2 linked regions of the Arabidopsis thaliana genome follow. The protein of the gene in region 1 purifies or fractionates together with the protein of each later gene. This does not show direct contact. Each region holds a gene or a part of one and is shown on either strand. Other genes may lie near its edges.

Region 1 (3,294 bases):
TCTCTCCAAGATCCTTCTCTTTTCCACACAACTTCTGGTCGAAGATTGAAACCAATAATAAATACAAAAATAAAAATTAATACTTATTGTCTAAGCACAAGGACGAGTACCATCATAGAATCTCCATCATTCATGTCTATAAATACATCTAGATACTCACAGACGAAACTCACATCTCCCACCAATCTCACTCAAAAGAAAATCTAAGAAAAGATTCTTAATTTTCTGAAGTGAATGCAAAGATGATGATGGAAGAGAAACTTGTGATCAACGAATTGGAACTAGGGAAAGAGCTTGCTAACCGATTGATGAACAATCTCAAACACACTTCTTCTGTCGATTCCAACAAAACCTTGATCTCTGATATCCTCCGTATTTACCAGAATGCCATTTTCATGTTGAGCTTCAACCAAGACAAGAACATCCTTAAGCGAAGCCTTGAGATCGATGGAAAAGATTCTAAAAACGTCTTCAAAAAGAGGTAAATTGAGCTAAAAGATTGGTTTTTTGTCTCTCTTTCAGTTCCAAACTGTGCTCATGTGTCTGATTCCTCTGTTTTTTTTTTTGGTGATTTTCAGGAAAGTATCGGAGAAGAACACAGAGAAAGTTAAGGTTTTTGTTGCAACAGAACAAGAAAATGGCTCTATTGATGATGGTCACTGCTGGAGAAAATATGGGCAAAAAGAGATTCATGGATCCAAAAATCCTAGGTGATTATCATTCATTCATCATCTGGGAATTTCAAAGTTTTAATTTTTCTTTTGCTATATTTGCTAAATCCTATGTCTCTGTTTTTGTTTACAGAGCATATTACAGATGCACGCATCGATTCACACAAGACTGTTTAGCAGTGAAGCAAGTTCAGAAATCAGACACAGATCCTTCCCTTTTCGAAGTGAAGTATCTCGGAAACCACACTTGTAACAACATCACATCCCCGAAGACGACGACGAACTTCTCTGTTTCATTGACGAACACGAACATCTTTGAAGGAAACAGAGTACATGTTACAGAGCAATCGGAAGACATGAAACCGACCAAGTCCGAAGAAGTGATGATAAGCCTTGAAGATCTGGAGAACAAGAAGAACATTTTCAGAACGTTTTCTTTCTCTAACCATGAGATTGAGAACGGTGTGTGGAAAAGTAACCTTTTCTTGGGAAATTTCGTGGAAGATCTTTCTCCTGCAACATCAGGGTCTGCAATTACCAGCGAGGTTTTATCTGCACCTGCTGCTGTTGAGAATTCCGAAACTGCAGATTCGTATTTCTCGTCTTTGGACAATATTATCGATTTCGGACAGGATTGGTTGTGGTCGTAGCTTTGAATAATTGATTTGGTGAATGTAATGTCTCTCTCTTAATGGCAGTAATTATAGATGGTCAGTTTAATTTAAGGGTTATTAGTTATTACTTATTAGTATAGTAAAAATTATTTTTGCCGATGGATAAAAATTGGCTTATAGGACTAAAGTTACATGATTTTGGCCTTTTTCATTGTTTTTCAGCAGGGTTTATGAATTATGATTTCCCTATGAAGTTGGATTGTACTTTATGACAATTAATAAAGAAAGGATTTTATATAAGGTTTATTTGTGAGTTAAAGTTGTTAATTCTTATGATTAAATTGATAGAAAGACATTTCAAATGTCACATTAGTATGATTGACTTATGAAAACGCTTTGTAAAAGTGATGCAATTATTAGGATGAACAGATTAAAAAGTGGAAAACTCTTCCATCTTTCAAATTTTCAAGCAGTGTAAAAATTAATTCCAGTCAAAAGAATATAATTTTTTCATTTACAACTTTTTGTCTAAGAAAAGAACATATCGTCATTATGGGCCATGAGCCCAGATAAAAACTATCAAGCCCAGCTTCGAGAAGAGACTCTGTCGATTTCATCATCATAAGAATCTTTCAGATAGTCGGAGAAGACGAAAACGAAAGTTCCGAAGAAGAAGAAGAAGAAGGAGAAAAGATGATTTACCGAAAGTGGAGTTTGCTGTCCGGCCCACCGGTTATCCTCGGCGGAGCGGTAATTGCTGCCGTCGCCGTCGGATTCGTCTTGCAAAACGTATTCTCCTTCTCTTTCTCTTGTTTGGTCGTTAGATCTATATCTTCATTGGCTGCTTTTTCTCTCCTTCTTCACAATTTTTCATGTGTTGCGCTCCTCCTTTGATCTTATTCGGATCACAAATACTCTTGATGAGTTAGTAATTTGGCCTTTTGAAACATTGAGGCACGAAAGGAACAACCTTTAATTGAAAATTTGTGTTCTTTCATAGTCTTCGTTGATGGATCAGGATTGCCTTTATTTGTGTGTTGATAAAGGTTATGAATTTGATCCGTATCAGGCGACTAAGCTTCTTTCTCGATCTTCTGGAGATTATATGTTTGAATACATAAACCAATTTCATCTTTTTTTGTTGGTAACTTTGATCCAAAGATTTAGATTTGGAGTCTGACTTTTGGTGTCTGATGATCAGGTAACGAAAGGGGAGCAGAAGAAGAATGTCTCAACAAACAAGTGAGAAGACAAATGGAGAGATGCTACAAAATGTGGTGATCATGTGATTTGATACAATTTAGTTCTTGCAGTGTATAAGCTCAATAATGCTTTTGTAAGCTTTTGAATACACAGATCTTTGTGGTGTTTTTAGATTCTTGTTACTAATAATGATATTTCATTTTCCACTTTCTCATTCTTTACATTGATCATAAGGCTCTGTAAAGTTAGAAAAAAGTTTAGCCTAGTAATGTTAGGATAATCTAACACGGATGTTCAGAGAATACAACAACACAATGGAGAGGCTCTTTATATTTCTTCATGTAGCTCTCCTCGGAACTCTCATCCCAAACCCACGCTTTAGCTTATCGACCCTAACCATGTAGCATCACAGACCAAACTCAGATACATGAGAACTTGAAAGGTAAGGCGAAAAAGAGAGGTGTTATAGGCTATGTGAAAGCTTACGTTGGGGCGAGTTTACCAAGACTATCTAGCTCTTCACCGGTATCTTCGTCTATGACTCTACCTGAGATGTAAACAGTGTAGGATCGATCTCTATCCCGTGGAAGACCTCTGGCAGTGAGCAAGCGCAGGTCTTTCTGGTGAAGCTCTCTTCCGTTCACAAAGACTCTTGTGGTTCCGCCAGCGCAATTCTCTGGCATTGGGTAATTGAGCTCTTCAATGAAAGGCTGTAAGAAAGGAAGGAGTCACCTTTCGCCAGTTTTAGTACACATACTGAAAAAAACGAAAAGAGATTGACAAATATGATTTGTTAGCTGATGTTT
Region 2 (5,606 bases), about 17 Mb from region 1:
TCTCGGAGTCCCAAGCAAACAACTCTCATTGGAGAAGCTGACTGCCGACCACGCTGCAAGCCTCGCCGAGAAAATTAATATTATTTTGTTTGTGGTTTGGATTTTTTTAAGAGTTAATAAAGATTTAAAACTTGTATTATTTATAGATTGACCCGCGGTGTACCGCGTTGATATTTTTGTTAGAAAGTTAGAAATTTTTTATTTTAATTAATATTATTTATATAAATAATATATTTAAGAGATAGATCATACGCCTATATTTTTATTAAATAAAAAATTGAATTTTTGCTTTTAAGATGAAATATAGATACATGCTATTTTTTTTTTTTTTTATGTATAATACTATGATACTGGTGACCAGAGGGGAAGTAATATAATAGTCATTTTTATCTCCTTTCTGGAATTCAAGAGCTTCTTATTTCTCGTTGATTCATCATGTTTTGTATTCTTCATTGTTGATGTCATGGTTCTAATTAGTAAATTATCAACCATACAGAGCTCTAAACTTATTAGTAATATTTGAGATTACATATGTAAAAAACTCAAGATGATAGCTAACGTTTTCCTCCCAAATTTAGCATATTGAGCTTCTAAGTTTATGCCAGTTTCAATTACTAAAGCCAAATTTAGATGATATGTGCAGAATTAACTGCTATTGTTTGTGAGGTTTATGTACAACTTTCAAAAGTTAGCAAATAGAGGCTGTTAGGTTTCATTAGTCTTGTAAATTGGTTTGAGATTTGAGACTGGAGGAGACAACTTACAAGAAACATGATAGTTTTTCTCACTTGCAAATTTTCAATCATAAGAGGAATAATAATCCATCACTACATATATAGTTGCTAAATGACCCAACCTAGAACCATAATTTATTCTCTTAAAGAAAGAAAAAAAAAGACAGCCGATGGGGAACATATGCCGTACATACTAACTCATAAAGAAACAAGCAAGCTCACGAAAACACGGAATTTCTCGAGTCCAGTCGTCGATCAAGACTCTAATTCTTGCTGTTAAGGTCTTTGAACACCGGGCTGTCCAGTGCAACGCCCATTGCATTCAAACCATTGTCCACATATATGGTTGCACCGGTTATGGCAGAGGCCAATGGAGATGCCAAGAAGGCTGCTGCATTCCCAACTTCATCTACATCATCGCCATTTATAAAGCGTAAGATTCCAAGAAAAAACAAGCACAAGAGAGGTGATGGTTTGAAGGAAATGAACCTGCGGTCAGTGTTTTCTGAATAGGCCCATTATTGTAGGAATACTCAATCATGGTGTCTATGAACCCAATGGCTTTTGCTGCTCGGCTTCCCAAAGGACCTGAAACCCAAACAGTAGTACTCTTTTATAATTTCAAAAGACGAGGCGTGTTATTTGTACCACGAGGCGTGTAAGAGGGAAAGATGGATTACCCGCAGAGATGGTGTTGACCCTAATGTTTGATTTCCTTCCAGCTTCATATGCAAGCACCTATGTTGAAAACACAGTTTGGACTAAGAGACTTCTAACCGATACATCTTTGAGTTTACGAAACAGAATTGTAAACTCACCCGTGTGTCACTCTCTAGTGCAGCTTTGGCAGAACTCATACCTCCACCATACCTGCACAGAATGAAAGAGATACTTGTGAGAATGTGTTGACATCGTTATGTGTGTGCATTAGTTTGTTCCTTTGAATAACTTGTGAAGAAGCCATCCTTACCCAGGAATGATTCTTTCAGAGGCAATGTAAGTAAGAGATATTGAAGCACCTCCTAAATCATCATAGAGAACCAAATAAGAAAACATATTTACAAGGAATAAAGAGACATACGAAATTTGTTACATGCCTGGGTTCATAATTGGCAGAAAATGCCTCAGCAAGGAAACAAAGGAGTAACTCGAAGCAGAGATAGCAGCGAGATAGCCTTTCCTTGATGTCTCCAGAAGAGGTTTGCTAACCTAAACCCACATGTGAACACCATTAGGAAATAGTTTGTATACAACACAATGCACTTACTGTAACCAATAATCGATACGAGTTCTCTACCTCTGGGCCATTTGCAAGGGAATGGACAAGAATGTCAATGCTTCCAAAATCTTTTTTCACACATTCAGCAGCTTCCTGATTTAAGCAACAAAAAGCATTAAGGAGTAACACATGTTAACTTGCAGGCGTGTTTGTGTATCTCTAATCTATACCTGTACGGTCCAGTTTGACGATCCTGCATATCGCTTATTCGTTTTCACATCTTCAGGCACATCTTCAGGATTGTCAAACACAGCATCCAAAGCATAAACCTTCTTAATCTCCATCAATGACCCGTCAGGCAACCTGAATATACATGGATGGAAAAATTAATGTCCCATTACATAAAACCAGACAAGATCATGTTGTAAGTCCTTACACTCGTGACTGGTCGAATTTTCCACGTCTCAAGCTTGTCTCAAATATATTAAGTGCCTAGTAGACCATCCATTCATAGGTTAGTATAATTTAGCAATGAAGGAAACTAAAAGCAGCTGAACCAAAAATGACTTACAGGAACCCAAGTCCCAACCAATATTTCAGCTCCAGCAGCAGCAAGAGATTTTGCTATGGCCCAACCATAGCCATTATCATCAGCTATACCAGCAATGAAAGCTCTTTTCCCTGTACCATTTACACTTGCTTAGTTCAGATAGCACCAAGTCTTCTCTGAATTCAAAGAAAGATATGCCAACCAACCTCTCAAATCAATTGGAAGCCCTGAAGGAGCCTTGTTTTCACTGGATTCAGACATTGCCCTTGTGGAAAAAGAAAAGGGTCTCTTACAAGTTGGAACAGCACTGTGGTTTCTCAAACATCCAAGGTTTGATAATTGGCGAGTGCATGAAAGTTTATCCCATGAAGCGTTTCCAGGATTGGCACCAACAATGTAGGTTCCTGCTTTAAGAATTTTGCTAGGCGAAGACATGCTCGGCCTTCGTGTAGCAATTTGTAAGCTTGAAGCTGCTGTAGCCGCCATTCTCACAACCTTTCTAATTTTTTCTTCTACTAAAACAACAAATCCAGAAACATTGTAAGAAAGACCACATATGAAACAAAATTTAAGAATCAGATCAAACCTAAAGCACAAGTTGACATAAGTTCACTACTTGAAACATTATAACAAGAACCCTAGTTTCCAAAATTTCAAGCACTGCATTAGAGAAATCTCAATCTGCATTTTTCTAATGATTTGGATTAGAGTTAACAAACAAAGTTCAGATTTTTCACATACGTGAGTATAGTTAACAAATTAAAGAAGCAGATCAATGCAGAGAACACGAAACCTAAACGAGAGATAATACAAGTTTCGAATTTTTTGGAGCCCAACAACATCAGAGAAAAACTCAATCAACAGAGATATAAAAACTTCCACAGAAAACCAAAACACATCTGCATTTAACATTCAGAAACTCATCAAACAAACAGAGACGCAAATGGAGAACAAGAGAGAGACAGAGAGAGAAAAAAACCTGTGAGAGCGTGAGAGATAGAGAGCGAGAGAGAGAGACAGAAGTAGGTTTGGTTGATGTGAAGTGATGATATGTAAGAGAGAGGAGCTTCGATGAGATCGAGGTGTTGTTTCTGTGAAGTTTTTAAGTGATATCAGAAGTTTTCGTCTCAATTACAAAACCGATCGGTTCTGTTATAAAAACCGGAATCCTGGTTAACTTTAAACCGTTTCTGAATTTTCGACTTTTTCTCTTCTCACTTTTCCGTTTTTTCCGACAACTTTATTAGATTAACTCAAATAATAAATCAATGCTAAAAAGTATTGTTTACAAAGATAATCATATGTGGTTATATCCGAACATTCCGTATCTAGTGGTCTGTTTTAACATTTACATTTCGAAGCATTAGAGATAAATCAAAAAAATCAAACTCATCACTATCTTCCTGAATCGTCTTTAAGTATGTAGCGAATGTTGGCCATTTTGTTGGAAAATACATCATCTTCATCAGATCTACAGTTTATAAAAAGCGTTACTTTTCGCTTTTCTTGGCCAATCATACATTTCATTGCCCAGACGAGTGCTTCCAGCACACATGGTTGGATGTCCTTCATTTGGTAAAATACAGAACCATCCCATGCCCAAAAACTTGTCACTATCTTTCCAAGAGTCATCAATGAAACAATGATATCCTGAAAGATTTATATTAACCGACTTAACTGCCACTGAGGCTTGAATTTCATTTGCAACCTCCAATCAGGCTAACGTCCAAGCATTGTCTTTGTTTTTCGCTAGTTTGAGAATATCCCTTGGATCTCGATCCATATTTTCGTGAAGTTTTTCATTTTGTGCTTTCCATATGTATCACATAATCCAAGAAAAGCTAAAAATAAAATAATATAAATGTGTTCTCCAAAATAAATGATCTATGTTTACATAGACCGATGAAGATTGGAAAATTCCTGGGACCGTTGGTATTTGTGATAATGTGCAAGTTTAGAGTGCTGGTGGGCATTCAAAAATAGTATTGATTAATTGTTTTCTCTATGACTATCTACAATGACTTATTGAAAATATTAATTCAATAGTTAAATGCTTAAAACTATGTACAATGCAAAAACATATTCAGCACCTCCACCTCAATTTTGAACATTTCACATCATTTCCTCTTTCTTCCTTACTTTAATTTTTTATCACTCCAATGTTTTTTATTAATAAAATTCAACACCCAACCCCACTATTTCTTTTATTCTTATTTTCTTATATCTTATATTTCGTGATGCATAATAATAGTTGTTAAACAAATTAAGTTAAAATATCTATTAAAACTAAATTAAATTAATTAAAAATGACATTATGGTAGAATAATATATAGAATTTATGGCAGAAGAATAAGAAAATTATGGTAGAAATGACATTTTTTTATGTGTCCAAATAAATTGAACCAAGCCTCCATTTATAGAGTTTAAACTAGATTTTAACCCGCGGTACACCGCGGGGACAATTTATTTTTTAAAGATAGTATATATATAAAAATTTGTAAATTGTATCTATCTATAAAATATTTTTATTTTATAGTTTACAACTGTTATTAAGTAACGTCCTGCCAAACCCGTCCCGCAAAACCCATCCTGCAAAAAAAACATTTATTTTATTAATGTTGATCTTATTTATGAATCATTGTCTAAATATTTTAGTCGATGCGGGATGTTGAACCCACACATTTTTCGCTAATTGGTTAATATATGTTCATTTTTAAAATTTTGAATCACAAAATATGACGGATTTTTTTTTGAGATTTTTTAAACTATATATTATATAATGATGTTAAATTTTTTGATATATTAAACTTTTTGTTTAAATATTAATAATGTTTTATAAAGTTTAAATATATAAATAATAATATTTAAAAATATATATATTTTTTGCCTTTTAGGTAATGACATAATAACTCTAAAAGCAAAGATTTAGAAGATTTAAATCGTTAATTAAATATTTTAATTTCTAAATAATTAATGCCAATAGCATGACATTGTAAATAAGTTCAAATACAGGGTTTATTTATTTAGACAAAAAAACGTTTAGTAAGAATAATATTTATTTAAACAAAAAACTTTGTTTTAAAATATTGCTAACAAATACGTT

Evidence for each region.
Region 2: the proteins of SDH8 (region 1) and MOD1 purify together in Arabidopsis thaliana (affinity purification with mass spectrometry, with the first as the bait; one large-scale study listed by BioGRID). This does not show direct contact.

Annotation. Positions count from the first base shown.
Region 1 is NC_003071.7:19,041,703-19,044,996, reverse strand, and holds SDH8 (succinate dehydrogenase subunit), read left to right. Parts: upstream 1-1,762; 5' UTR 1,763-1,978; coding exon 1,979-2,074; intron 2,075-2,486; coding exon 2,487-2,531; 3' UTR 2,532-2,696; downstream 2,697-3,294. Other genes in the region: WRKY46 (WRKY DNA-binding protein 46), read left to right, coding at 243-481, 579-710, 805-1,321; AT2G46380 (extra-large G-like protein, putative (DUF3133)), read right to left, coding at 2,826-2,880, 2,975-3,198.
Region 2 is NC_003071.7:2,320,259-2,325,864, reverse strand, and holds MOD1 (NAD(P)-binding Rossmann-fold superfamily protein), read right to left. Parts: upstream 3,651-5,606; 5' UTR 3,483-3,650; intron 3,019-3,482; 5' UTR 2,990-3,018; coding exon 2,710-2,989; intron 2,635-2,709; coding exon 2,525-2,634; intron 2,446-2,524; coding exon 2,390-2,445; intron 2,317-2,389; coding exon 2,184-2,316; intron 2,107-2,183; coding exon 2,032-2,106; intron 1,944-2,031; coding exon 1,832-1,943; intron 1,757-1,831; coding exon 1,705-1,756; intron 1,605-1,704; coding exon 1,553-1,604; intron 1,473-1,552; coding exon 1,415-1,472; intron 1,323-1,414; coding exon 1,224-1,322; intron 1,144-1,223; coding exon 998-1,143; 3' UTR 668-997; downstream 1-667. UniProt on the Arabidopsis thaliana protein: Catalyzes the NAD-dependent reduction of a carbon-carbon double bond in an enoyl moiety that is covalently linked to an acyl carrier protein (ACP). Catalyzes the last reduction step in the de novo synthesis cycle of fatty acids.